Arabidopsis thaliana: one gene and its partner. The protein of the gene in region 2 purifies or fractionates together with the protein of the main gene of each other region. This does not show direct contact. Each region holds a gene or a part of one and is shown on either strand. Other genes may lie near its edges.

The links.
Region 1: the proteins of DWA1 (region 2) and CUL4 purify together in Arabidopsis thaliana (affinity purification with western blotting, with the first as the bait; one study listed by BioGRID). This does not show direct contact.

Annotation. Positions count from the first base shown.
Region 1 is NC_003076.8:18,730,647-18,738,714, reverse strand, and holds CUL4 (cullin4), read left to right. Parts: upstream 1-1,899; 5' UTR 1,900-2,061; coding exon 2,062-2,308; intron 2,309-2,788; coding exon 2,789-2,904; intron 2,905-2,989; coding exon 2,990-3,336; intron 3,337-3,613; coding exon 3,614-3,794; intron 3,795-3,884; coding exon 3,885-4,007; intron 4,008-4,095; coding exon 4,096-4,383; intron 4,384-4,752; coding exon 4,753-4,878; intron 4,879-5,016; coding exon 5,017-5,118; intron 5,119-5,219; coding exon 5,220-5,273; intron 5,274-5,521; coding exon 5,522-5,628; intron 5,629-5,724; coding exon 5,725-5,785; intron 5,786-5,878; coding exon 5,879-6,010; intron 6,011-6,108; coding exon 6,109-6,246; intron 6,247-6,362; coding exon 6,363-6,443; intron 6,444-6,554; coding exon 6,555-6,635; intron 6,636-6,760; coding exon 6,761-6,841; intron 6,842-7,032; coding exon 7,033-7,146; 3' UTR 7,147-7,344; downstream 7,345-8,068. UniProt on the Arabidopsis thaliana protein: Component of the CUL4-RBX1-CDD (COP10-DDB1a-DET1) E3 ubiquitin-protein ligase complex which mediates the ubiquitination and subsequent proteasomal degradation of target proteins. Participates in the CDD complex to light-mediated control of development.
Region 2 is NC_003071.7:8,412,906-8,418,514, reverse strand, and holds DWA1 (DWD (DDB1-binding WD40 protein) hypersensitive to ABA 1), read right to left. Parts: upstream 3,470-5,609; 5' UTR 3,299-3,469; coding exon 2,973-3,298; intron 2,886-2,972; coding exon 2,809-2,885; intron 2,728-2,808; coding exon 2,682-2,727; intron 2,555-2,681; coding exon 2,494-2,554; intron 2,406-2,493; coding exon 2,352-2,405; intron 2,262-2,351; coding exon 2,181-2,261; intron 2,090-2,180; coding exon 2,050-2,089; intron 1,778-2,049; coding exon 1,677-1,777; intron 1,505-1,676; coding exon 1,394-1,504; intron 1,138-1,393; coding exon 1,021-1,137; intron 865-1,020; coding exon 775-864; 3' UTR 521-774; downstream 1-520. Other genes in the region: AT2G19440 (O-Glycosyl hydrolases family 17 protein), read left to right, coding at 1-351; AT2G19420 (uncharacterized protein), read right to left, coding at 4,632-4,936. UniProt on the Arabidopsis thaliana protein: Acts as a component of the THO subcomplex of the TREX complex which is thought to couple mRNA transcription, processing and nuclear export.

The DNA.
Region 1 (8,068 bases), on a different chromosome or scaffold from region 2:
TAATAAACTGAAAGTTAGAAACTCTAGCAGCTTTTTAAGGTAAAGCGTTACTAAAAACAAATCTTATTTTATTTTTTAGTAAAAGCTAAAAAAAAATCTTTATAATTTTTGCATAAGATTTCTATTTTTATTACGATGTAAATTTTGGAAGAAAAAACAGTCCACAACAATTTTATTTTTACTTTTATATCTCAGCATGACTACCGATTAGAATATATAAATGGTGAAACAGAAGCGGTTTTAATCCGCAATCTTATTAATCAGTGTTCCATGTACAAACCATTCAAAGCTAAAATTGTTCAATTGTTTGTTTTATGTCAAGCTTACAATTTTTCAATAACTCCTCATTTTCACATGTTTGCATGTGAAAATATTGATCCAACGATCCAAGAGACTTACAATTTGCTATTATTAGTATCAATTGGGATTAATTGAGAAATTCTATAGTCTTGAAACATGAATAAAGAAAAAATAAATGTGTTGACATGTTAATGAGGGATTAAAGAAATAAAAAAAAATTATTAGTAAGTTTAAGCGAGGTGAGAATGTAATGAACACCATTTTGTATTAGTAATTATACAATTCCATAGGCTAATCAACATGTAATAAAAAGTTTTAAGACCATGCAGTCGTTGAGGCTGTGGCTGTAATAATATTCATCCTTGCAATTGCGACTTAAAAACCAGCCATGTTTTTTGGCCCAAGAACCCTCACTAATCAAAACACATTCGCACAACAGCACAAGTTATATGAGTTCGCCAATTGGTACGTCTCGGTAACACTTGTAAGACCATCTCCATCGGAATATCTGATTGAGATACTCATCAATTAAATAATAATTAAAAAGAGAAAAAGTATGAGAGAAGAAGAGAAAAGTGGAGAAACTGGCAAGAGAGACTATTCTCAGCATTTATTGAGAGTTGTCATTCAATTAATAGTTCATTTACTTCAAACTAATTAAAATATATTAATTTGATTAAAATATTAATTTATTTACTTTTTGAGATACTCTCTACCACTTTTGCCGATGGAGATGCTCTAACAATCTCATCTCGTCTCTTATCTGCTTGATAGGCTTCGGTTAAACCTTTGTAATCAGGCCCAAAGTATTAACTCCTGTAAATAATTTGATAAGCCCATATTTTGTAATCAGAACCAAACCCTAAACCGGAAGTCCAAAAACCCTGTGGAGCAGCAAGTCAACACGCCCCACATTGGCTAATCCATGACATCGATCATATTATATTTATTCATATTGTCAAGTGATGATTCTTCGTTCATGTCTTTTAACATCACACAATTTTCTGCCTGAAATTACCGACTGCTAAAAGTATTTAATCATCTCTATTTTTATCTCCATTCTCCACGTTATAGGTGAGTCTATTTTATAGGCATTTTATTCTAATATATTCTTTTAAAATAGTTTTTTTTAAAAAATAAAAGAAATATATGGAAAAAAAATCAACTCAATTTTCTTTAAAATAAAAATAAAAATATATATCAAAAATGATCTAAATATCAAGCATCGACTCGTGTGATCGATTCTTTATTCTTTAAATCGTAAAATGACTTAATAAAAATTCGACTCTAAAAATATACAATAGATATGATTTATCAGTTGTCAAAAACTAAAAATAAAAAGTAGTTAAAATTTAAAAGTAGTTATAAAAAATAACCATACAAAACAGGCAACAATTGATTATTATTTTTTATTTTTTTGTTTTTCACTTTTGTGATTAGTAACCATTAAAACAACGCACATCTAATCATTGCGGTATATGTCTATTTTTATCAATAATATTTTTTTTATCATATAGTAATTATGATTTATGAATGTATAAATAAAATAATTCTGATTTTATTCAGAGTATATAAATAAACAAAAAATCTTCATTTCTCGGGTCGGGTCTAAATCGCGAGTTTTCGCGTAGGTTTGAGCAAAAAAAAAAAGAGAGAGAGTGCACAGTGCGCTTTTGGTAGAGAGAAAGGGTTGTTATTATTTAGGATTGATGTCTTCTTCTTCCTCTTCGTGATTCTCTCACACAATTTTCACCCATTTTCATGTCTCTTCCTACCAAACGCTCTACTTTCTCCGCCGCTTCTGCCTCCGACGACTCTTCTTACTCTTCTCCTCCGATGAAAAAGGCCAAAAACGACCTCCACCATTCCCCTCAACACCCTAATACCGCCGACAAGGTTGTTGGCTTTCATATGGAGGAAGATCCAACTCCCGCCGCCGCTAATCTCTCTCGGAAGAAAGCTACACTTCCGCAACCTACTAAGAAGTTTGTAATCAAGCTCAATAAAGGTTTCGCTCGATTTCGATTTCTTTCATCTTTACGATTTTGATCGTAATCTTAGGATTTGATTTGGGTCTTTTACTCTACTGTGCAATTGATGCTCTGGATTGATTTGAAATGATACAATTGTTAAGGTTCGTGATTTTTAGGGTTTTCATTGGCTTGCGATTGATGGAAGTTTTGTGTGAGTTTTGATGTTAAATTACAGTGGAAAATTGAGTGTGACTGTTGAATTTTGATGTGAATGAGTGATTTGGGTTTTTGTATTTCTTCTAAGTTGGAATCTCTTTGTCTAGCCTGATCTAGGTACTTAAGATCCGGAATCTTTGTTGTGCACAATCTAGTTGGCTTAGCTCTCACCAAACCTAATTTGTGCCATTAGAAAACATCTTGAGAATCATCTTTACTGTGACTGGCTAGCAAATTGAAGATAAAAGTGTTTTCATAATTAGGGTTCTGATTGTACCATTTGTATTATATATGTGAAGCCAAACCAACTCTACCAACAAACTTTGAGGAGAATACATGGGAGAAGTTGCAGTCAGCTATCAGAGCTATATTCCTCAAAAAAAAAATTTCGTTTGACCTCGAGAGCCTTTACCAGGTTAGGTTACGTGCAAATTTACTTACTTCCTTTCTTATTCGTATGTGTAAATGTCGTGCTGATGAGATTGTGATTGTTTTTTCAGGCTGTTGATAACCTTTGCTTGCATAAGTTGGATGGAAAGCTTTATGACCAGATTGAGAAGGAGTGTGAAGAACACATCTCTGCAGCTTTGCAATCTTTAGTTGGGCAGAACACTGATCTGACTGTTTTCTTGTCACGTGTTGAGAAATGCTGGCAAGACTTTTGTGACCAGATGCTCATGATTCGTAGTATAGCCTTGACTCTGGATAGGAAGTATGTGATACAGAATCCAAATGTACGTTCATTATGGGAGATGGGTTTGCAGCTTTTCCGGAAGCATCTTTCTCTGGCCCCTGAAGTTGAGCAGAGGACGGTTAAAGGTCTCTTAAGTATGATTGAAAAAGAAAGGTAAATTTTTAACCTTCTGGTCTTCCAAAATTAAACGAGGGTTGATTTATCACATTGAGAATATAATTTCATAAAGCCACTTTACCTCAACTTATTTTTCTGGCTTTTGAGTGAATATGGTAAGTTTGGATGGTCTATGAACTATTCCTGTCTAGCAGTGATAACTTGTTATAGGTAAAATTTCAAGGCAAATCAGGACTAGTGTATGTCATTTATATATTGGATAATGTTTTCATCTGAATCTGCTGAACTTTCTTGCATGATATTGGTCCTGCAGGTTAGCAGAAGCTGTTAATAGGACTCTACTAAGCCATCTTTTGAAGATGTTTACTGCACTGGGAATTTATATGGAAAGCTTTGAGAAACCTTTCCTTGAAGGGACCTCTGAATTTTATGCCGCTGAAGGAATGAAATACATGCAGCAGTCTGACGTTCCGGAGTACCTGAAGCATGTTGAGGTGCCTTGCATGACTTCATATAGTTTCCTTATGATTAGCTGCACTACAGGTTAATAGTCTTTCTAAGGTTTCTACTGGTGATTGGTGCAGGGAAGGTTGCATGAAGAGAATGAGAGATGCATACTCTACATAGATGCAGTAACCAGGAAACCATTGATCACAACTGTTGAAAGGCAACTTCTCGAACGTCATATACTTGTTGTTCTTGAAAAGGTTCCAATCTCCTATTATTCTTGTGTTGGCTTGCATATTATCCAATTTTAGTTTGTCGTAGTCTTACTTTATTTCTGAACATCTTCAGGGTTTTACAACATTAATGGATGGACGTCGTACGGAGGACCTTCAGAGGATGCAAACCTTGTTTTCTAGGGTCAATGCACTTGAGTCTCTGAGGCAGGCGCTAAGTTCATATGTTCGGAAAACTGGGCAGAAGATTGTTATGGATGAAGAGAAAGACAAAGATATGGTACAATCACTGTTGGACTTCAAGGCTTCTCTTGACATAATATGGGAAGAGAGCTTTTACAAGAACGAATCATTTGGTAACACAATCAAAGATTCGTTTGAGCATCTGATTAATCTTCGACAGGTATCAAATAGTGATTTTCTTGATTATTGCCTGAGTCTCTTGCTAATAATTTTACTTTCATGTAAAAGCAACATACTGATTATTGTGGAAATGTCAACCTTAAATTACAATTGTGAAATCGAGAAATTTATATTTTATAATAATCTATAGATTTCGTTACTGATTAAGCACTGTATTGCTATGATTTGGAGACATCTTTGGGCAGTGAATACTATTTTCAAACATAATTTTGAGATCAAGCTTCTTGTGGGCACTGGACCTGATCACAGTAGTGTTGTTTGCTAATATATATCACTTTGGATACCAAATACTCTGATTTAGCAAGCATCCCAAATAATATACATCTTATGCTGATAATCTTTTTTACAGAACCGGCCAGCTGAGCTTATTGCCAAGTTTTTGGACGAGAAACTCCGTGCTGGGAATAAGGGTACTTCTGAAGAAGAATTGGAGAGTGTTCTTGAAAAAGTCTTGGTTTTGTTCAGATTTATCCAGGTTATCTCTAATTTCTTACATTTAGTACTGTGTTTGTCACTGTAAATCACTGCTTCGAGGCCAGTGCATGGTCTGTAAACCAGCTATTTGATCTTCTGGATATCGGTTTTGCTGATGGATTTTTATTATTTATCAAAGGGTAAAGATGTGTTCGAAGCATTTTACAAAAAGGATCTTGCGAAGAGACTCCTGTTGGGAAAGAGTGCTTCAATCGATGCTGAGAAATCCATGATCTCTAAGGTTAAAAACTGATTTATATTCTGGGTGTTTCCCTTTCCCACAATTTGTTTTCTATATCTGTAGTTCTCACCCACTGATCCCAACCTTGGTTTTACCTACAGCTTAAGACTGAGTGTGGTAGCCAGTTTACAAACAAGCTCGAAGGGATGTTCAAGGTATCCTTTCTTCTCCTTCTCTATATTCAAAAAAGATGTTGGTCGTTTAAGTTTTACTAAGGAACAAACTTAATGATCTTATATTTTGTTACGTTTTACGATATACCCCGGTATACATATTCATTGTTAATCCAATCTAAGACAGGATTGGCGGATGATCCTGCTCCATACTTATTTTAATGAACTTGTGTACATTTACAATAATCCTAATGAGCTTGAACTCTCCGTTTTATTGAAATTTTCTCCAGGATATTGAATTGTCAAAGGAAATCAACGAGTCATTCAAACAATCTTCCCAGGCCAGAACAAAACTGCCATCGGGAATTGAGATGAGTGTCCACGTTTTAACAACAGGGTATGTACAATGTATCAATTTTATCCAGGATATAACTGCTGGAATGCGGATATCATGACATATATAAAGCTTGTTAACTTCCCGTCTATAATACAGGTACTGGCCAACATATCCGCCTATGGATGTTAAGCTTCCTCATGAACTAAATGTCTATCAGGTTTTACTAAAAGTTCTTCTTATGTATTTTTTTTTGTTTCCTCGTTGGACGTTTTCTTACAAGCTTTTTCTAAGCTATCTGTATGTTTCGTAGGATATCTTCAAAGAGTTCTATTTAAGCAAGTACAGTGGTAGGAGGTTAATGTGGCAAAATTCATTAGGCCACTGTGTTTTAAAGGCAGATTTCTCCAAAGGTAAAAAGGAGCTGGCTGTTTCCCTGTTTCAGGTCAGTCAAATTTTTTTTCCCCCCCCCCCCCTTTTAAGCTCTTTCCTGTCTTCCCGAGGTTACAGTGTTAATCAATTGCTCTTTTCTTTTTGTCTCAGGCTGTTGTGTTAATGTTATTTAACGATGCAATGAAACTTAGCTTTGAAGACATTAAAGATTCCACCAGCATAGAGGACAAGGAGCTGAGGAGGACTTTGCAGTCGCTTGCTTGTGGGAAAGTCCGTGTCCTGCAGAAGGTTTGGCCAAAATCTGGACTCTGTTAACTCTCTTTTCAGCTAATGCAGAAACTGCCGAGATTATGGCTTTGCCTTTTTCCATAAGGATAAGCCTTATTGTGTAAATATTTTTGCAGAATCCTAAGGGAAGAGATGTAGAAGACGGTGATGAATTTGAATTTAATGATGAGTTTGCAGCTCCGCTGTATCGCATTAAGGTACGTTGGTTTTTTTCTTGGTCTCTTCACTTAAAGTATCCTAGAATCTTGTGATACTGTTTTGTATGTAGCTTATAGTGAAGCAATTCTTTCTTTTGTTCCTGGGTGCAGGTAAATGCGATCCAGATGAAAGAGACAGTAGAGGAGAACACAAGTACAACGGAAAGAGTATTCCAGGACCGACAATACCAGGTTGGTTTCTGCTCTCCATTTTCCTTTACGATACTAATTTCTGAAATCGTTCTTACAACTTTGGCTTCTTAAACAAGAAAAGATTTTGACAAAATGGTTTTCCCCATCACACCCTTCTCTTACAGATCGATGCAGCCATTGTTCGTATTATGAAGACAAGAAAAGTCTTGAGCCATACTCTTCTAATCACTGAGCTCTTCCAACAGGTAAATTTCACTCCTGCTTGATGATTTTAAAATCCGAAATAACATGTCGGTTTATGAAAAAAGAAAGCATGAAATTCGTTACTAGGTCCAGTCCTATTGGTAATATACTCGTGATGATGATTAGAGTTCTCAGTAGTCTACTAAATTTAATATACCATTGCTATGAATGGATATATGTTTGTGATTTGCAGCTCAAATTCCCGATAAAGCCTGCTGATCTGAAGAAGAGGATTGAGAGCTTGATCGATCGAGAATATTTGGAGAGGGAAAAAAGCAACCCTCAGATATACAATTATCTTGCTTAGAATCTCTTTGGTAAACACACCTTTTGAATATTTTCCTTTTTGTATATTTATTGACAAACAAACGATGACCGAAATTTTCTTATCAGTTTGAAAAAAAAAAAGAACTCTCGATATTCCAATCATCTCTATTCTCGCTGTTCCGCCCGTTCTTATGTACAGCCTTAAGTTCTATTTCTTACTTTGATTCACTTTTCCTCGGTTCTCACTTTTTTTTTTTTTTTGAACATACTTTCTTGGGACTTCTTTGTTTTCAGATTTTTATACAACTTAAAAGATGTTTTTGTTTCCCTACAAAAATAACTGATTTGTTTTAAAAAAATTCAAACTTCCAATAAAGTTCCTAAGATAGGTTATATATCTTCGAGGGTTTTCTATGTGCTGATTCCATTTTGTTTTCGTTTTTGAGTTTTATTTGAATGGAGATAGTTCTTAGAGCTTTTTCTTCGTTTTTAGGCAATTAAATCTTAAGTTTAATCGGATTTTTTTTTACACTACATTATAGGCATTTCTGTTTTTACCACTACCAAATAACTAAAGAAAGAACAGAGAGAATCAAATTGCTTACTTGATGAACGTCCCTAACGACATTTAACTATGGCTGATCAATATTGTACGCAACTGAAAGACAATTGAATAAAATTCATACTACGGTTTGTGAAATAGTTAAATGTATCTACACGTACATTTAAGAAAAATGGAAATATATTGACTCATCGTCCAACTGCTTCAATCTAGTGACTCCACAGCTTTTTAGTTCGGGTTTCATACTGTAGTAGGAAAGTAAACGAACTATGTAAAGAAAATTGGATTTCAGAAAAAAATAATTATTTGATGAAAAAAAAATTGAATGAAAATGTTGTTTACGAATATTTTTGCTAGTCAAAATTAAAATATTTATAAAATTTATTTGTCTTTAGCTAAA
Region 2 (5,609 bases):
TGTATGTTTAATACAGAAGCCAAAGATTTGACAAAACTCGCTGCTAACATAGATTACGCCTGCACTTTTTCGGATTGCACTGCGCTTGGTTACGGGTCTTCTTGCAATACTCTTGATGCAAATGGGAACGCTTCATATGCGTTTAACATGTATTTTCAAGTAAAGAACCAGGATGAGGATGCTTGTATCTTCCAAGGTTTGGCCACCATTACCACAAAGAATATATCTCAGGGACAATGCAATTTCCCTATTCAGATTGTTGCTTCCACAGCTTCTTCATTTTCTTCTTCTTTGGTTTTGTTGATCGCTGGAGTTTGGTTTCTCTTATCAGGAGTGATGTTTGAGGTTTAGATTAGTGATGTTTTTGAGGACTTATTTTTGTGGATATGGAAACTATATGTTTTGTCCATGTATTAAATTGCATAATATGGTAAAATTTTACTTGGAAGAGTGAGAATCATTTAGTTATGGATCCAAATATTTGATCAATGGTGGTCATAAGAAAACAGGACTCGCAAAAAATTGAAACTCTAACGGCAGTTAATGTACGTGATCAGACTAAACCGGTCCAATGTCATTTTAATGGTTCAAATTTGATAGCAACTACGGAACCACAAACCAATTACACTTAACCAAACAACTAATTGGTCTTTAGTCAGGAGCAAGATCCTAAGAAAAACAAAGAAAAGGTTTCTTAACCTCTGCAATAATCTGACTGACACATTTCGGTACCTCTTTAGGGTATCGAGCCAAATCAAGAAACTGTAAGGAGTTTTACAATGAACTGCTACGAAATGTGCAGAGATGGCTTCCAAATTGAGAGATGACATCAACAATACCTCCATAACCTCCCACAGCAACTACCTGCAAATACAAAAGAATTGGATCAACGGTTAAACATTGAGTTTCTAGTCCAGAAGGGGTAACATATTTGCAGAATATTAGCAGTAACATAGGAAATGGGAGAAAAGCAAACACATATATAGGAAATGGGGAGAAAAGAAGGGATTGGAAACATACTCCTGCTGGATGCAAGGAAATGGAAAATACTGAACAAGGAGCACAGTGAATTTGAGAAAGCAAAGCTCCATTTAAGTCGAAACGTCTTAGAAGTGGTTCTGCTCCTACAGTCAAAATCTGATAGTGCGATACTTGTTAAAGACAACATTTTTAAAAAGATGTTTAAACTTTAGCACAGGAATTAAAACTAGGTGTTGACCTCTGTTTCTAGTTTAGAAAAGTCAGTAATTTTTTTAATAAACTTCGTTGAAGAGGGATGATTCAAAGAGATACTACATAAACCTATTAAGCCTTGATAAACAAATAACACCCACGGCCTCCCAAGGCTTTAAATTACACTGCTTAAATTTCAATCTAATCTTGTTCTGCTTACTTGCTTTTCATCAAACATCACATCCTGTACATGTGCAGGGATGGGTATTGTTTGTACGCATTCTGAGGCGGGAAGATTCCATAAAGCTAAATTTTTGCCCTGTCCACAAACCTGAAAGAGGAGAAAATCATACCAATAACAGTAAATACATGTTCAGTATTTAAACTTCTAAGTGATTCTTCAGGAGAAAGGAACTATATTCTTAGGTTACTGGAGGCAACAATCCCTTCAAACAAATAGCAGGTTGCGAAAATGTTAGATTATCTAGTTGCTTAGTTCTTACCAACCAGCTTTCACTCCCATCAAGGGCCATAGAACTAACGCGAAGGCGGGACTTTTTATCCTGGGAACCAATTACTTTAACACATTTTCCCGTTTTGCAATCTGGTTGACAAAACAGAAAGAAGCCCTTGAGCGAACAAAGCTTAGTCTAGACAACTAAAGTAAACCACATGAACCAAAACATAACATAGTGGAAAGTTCTGTAATCACCAAAATGAATCATCATAGAGTTGTAAGAAGCAGCCAACAAAACTGAGGAGCATTGGATCTTAAGTACCAACATGAAGACTCAAATGATTTCAAAAGTTCTATAACCACGTATGACCTAATACTAGAAATTACAGCATAAAGAAATATGGTCGGGAGCATGTTACCCCAGATTCTCGCAGTCCCATCCTCTGAACCCGTCAATATCTGGAGAAAGAGACTACAATCAGACAAAAATCCAAATGTGGAACTCAGATTTGGATAGGTGCATTTCTAATATTTATGGTAACATCATTACCTGACTTGCAGAACTACGAGAAACTACAGTATGCAAATAGTCTGAATGACCTTTAAAGGTCATTTTAATCTTACCACTCTCCTGAAATTGTTGGATACACATAAATGATTTTAGAAAGTTAAGATATCTGGATTCACATAGGACATACATCTATCATGGTCAAATACATACCACGTCCCAACAATATGCGCAAGAATCACCAGCTGCTGTAAATACACTTCCTGACTATCAAAACGAAAGAAGTGAGAGAGGGTGAAACAGTTATCCTGTGAGACTGTCTAACCAAGCAATGAAATTTAAATACAATTCCAACCTGAGGATCAACAGACATGGCATTGATCTCAGGCATCGGTGAAAGCGCACCCCAAGGACCTCTATAAGAAAAAGAATGGTGATTATACACACAACTATTACGAACACTGACATTTGAACCCACAATTATAGCATTTTCAGTAACAGAGTTATCAAGTAGAATAAAAAATGAACAAAACTCATACTCACTTGTGTTGTGGATTAATCAGTTCAAGCAATGGCTTCAGATGATTCTCTGTAGATCATAAGAAAAACAACCACTAAGCTCCAAAAAGCATCATTCATATCAAAAACCACAAAAATGGCACACACACACCTTTCAAATGAAGAGACACATCTGATTCAGCAAATTCTCTCCATTTCCATCCCCTAACTCTACCATCATCACCACAACTACACATAACCAGATCAAAATTTCAAACTCTCAATTACAATTCATCAAAGACTCATCAATCAACAAAGAGAGATTTAAGTCTCTACCTAAGTAGCAAAGCATCTTCGTCTTCACCATAGAACTTAACATCATAAGCAGGACCTTCGTGTGCCCTAACCACTCTCTCAGGTTCAGCCACCATAACATCTTGACCTTTCGAGTAGCCAAAACTCGCCGATTGAGACACAAGCGAGTTCAGTGAATGGAAAGCTAAAGTTCCATCGCTGGAGGCTACAACAAATGCGTCTGGATTAGAGATTCTCGCCGGAGGAGCCCAGGCGGTTCTGAAGACGGTGCGTGTCTCTATCTCTCGCTCCTTCAAAATTGATTCTCTATACTCATCTTCATTCCAGTTTGTAGCGTCTCCGTACATGGTCCTCTGCTTCTTTGCAATTCCCGGTGATACTTGCGAAACGCCAGCGATATTACCACCAGTGGTTTAGTGCAATTGACGACTGAGAGAAAGCAATCCCTAAACCGGCCGATTTAGTAATTCTGTTAATTATATTTTACTAGCTTGTTTTTTTTTTGTCGATCAAATTACTAGCTTGCTTAAATAGACGAATTGAAGAAATAAATTTAATTTTGTATCGATAATATTTGAATTCTAAATAGTAATATATACATATTTTGTAATATTTAATTTAGTAATTTTATTTAAAAACAAAATTTTAATTTTATACATTTCATTTTAATAGAAAAATAGGTAAAAAAACTCTCACATTTTTTAAAAACATGAAAAAAAATCTTACCTTTTTAAAAATAGTAAATTAACACCTAGGATATCTTATTCAAACTAACATATCCTATGTTATTCAATTATGAATTTTTAAAAGTATCATGAAATCTAATGCTATTGAATTACTGATTTTAAAATCTCCTTAAAAATCTTCTGTTATTGAAAACATTTTAAAGATTGGATTTTAGTGACTTTAAGAGACTTAAGTGGATTTTCTTAGTTAAAAATATATAATTTTAAATCTCATGGTTTTAGGTGGAATTTGAGAGGATTTTACCATAAATCATAACAACCTCCTTAAATTCATCCAAATTCTTTAAAAAATCAAAATTATATAAAAACTCAAATAACTTAAAATATAAGATCGAATACACCTCCTTAGATTCTAGTGTTATTCAATTTTTGATGATTTTAATGCAAGTGTTATTCATTTTTCTGTCAAAACCAACATTTCATTCAAATCACCAAACCGAAAGTATCAAAGGATAAACCTCCAATGTAATTGAAAAACTCAATTAATTTTGAATGCAGTATGAGTAGAGAATTTCACTTCCTCCGCGGAGATCTGTCTATTCGTTTTAGAGATTCCATAGAATTCAAGATTCAGATGCTCTATTTCGTGTTTAATGTTAATAGCACAATATGATGAAGACAAATCAATTCAAAATTTTTTGTTCCACTTCTTTTGGTCTTCCGTCTCTTCAAATTTTGACCCATATATCTCCTCATCTATATCTACCAAGAAAAAATCATAAAGAAGACTCTGTGCGTTTTTGTTACAATTAAAATCTCCACCTTTCTTTTTGGCACTTCCAGCTTTCATAAATCTCACATCTAGGGCTACATAAATCTCATTCGCAAATACTGATTCGGAAAAAAAATTGAATTCATCCAAAACAAATGAAGCCGTCCTAGACCATCTGTAAGCATCAACTTCTTAGTACTATTCACTAGAGCATATTTGTCCTCACCCAAACATAAGTTTGCCAACTTCTCGGAGATAAAAACTGACATGCATCGTTTGCAACTCATCTCGAAAAGAATCTGGTAGATTAATCAACATGAGAGATTTTTTCGGTAGTGGTATTATGTAACCGCCATCATCAAAACCCAAGCTGGTAAGTACGTCTTCATCAGAAAATTCAGGGTCCATTAATTGTTCCTTTGTTGGTTTAGGTTTCTTATTCTTTGCTGGTGCGATCTTTGGACGATAAACATTTATTCTAATACGTTTTTTACCTCGACTTTTCTTCGTCATACCAGTATTCCAAACTGTGAAGTACATAATGGCTGTTAAAAGCTAGAAAAATTGCAGTATAGGTAATGACTAATGGACCATGTAGTTTATGGTCGGCTGATTGATGAATACACATGTAAATTTTGGTATGATTGAATAAACGTTGACGTTTCTAGAAACGTATTTAGGGGGACCGCTTATGTAGTGCTTGCGTGAGACACAAACACATATGAACAAGGGAATGTGGAAGGAGAATCAAATCAAATCAAATGCCAAAACAATATTAAAAACGTATTTCGAAGATGTTCATAATTCGTTGTCCTTGCATCTTTTGTCTTTATTTAATTAACTCCAAAACCTTTAGTAATATTCGCTTTTACTTCCATTTTAATATCAATTCCTCTAGCTTACGTTTCGGTTTTACATTCGCCCTTACAAAGATTACTTTTTATTCCTTTGGTTTTTGATTGGAGGATCAATGAATGTTCTAGCTAGAGATCTTAAGTTTGGGAATCTTTCACATAGATCTAGACCTATGTTATGTATACTTAATTGTTCAAGTGGTCGTTTACGCATGCAATGACCAAACAAATAGTTTATTTCGTTTTAAGTGGGATCTCTCACTCTCAAAATTTTGTTAAGAGTCCAATTTTATTGGTTTGTACGTATATTATAGACATGTGTTATGTATATATAATTGAAAAGAGA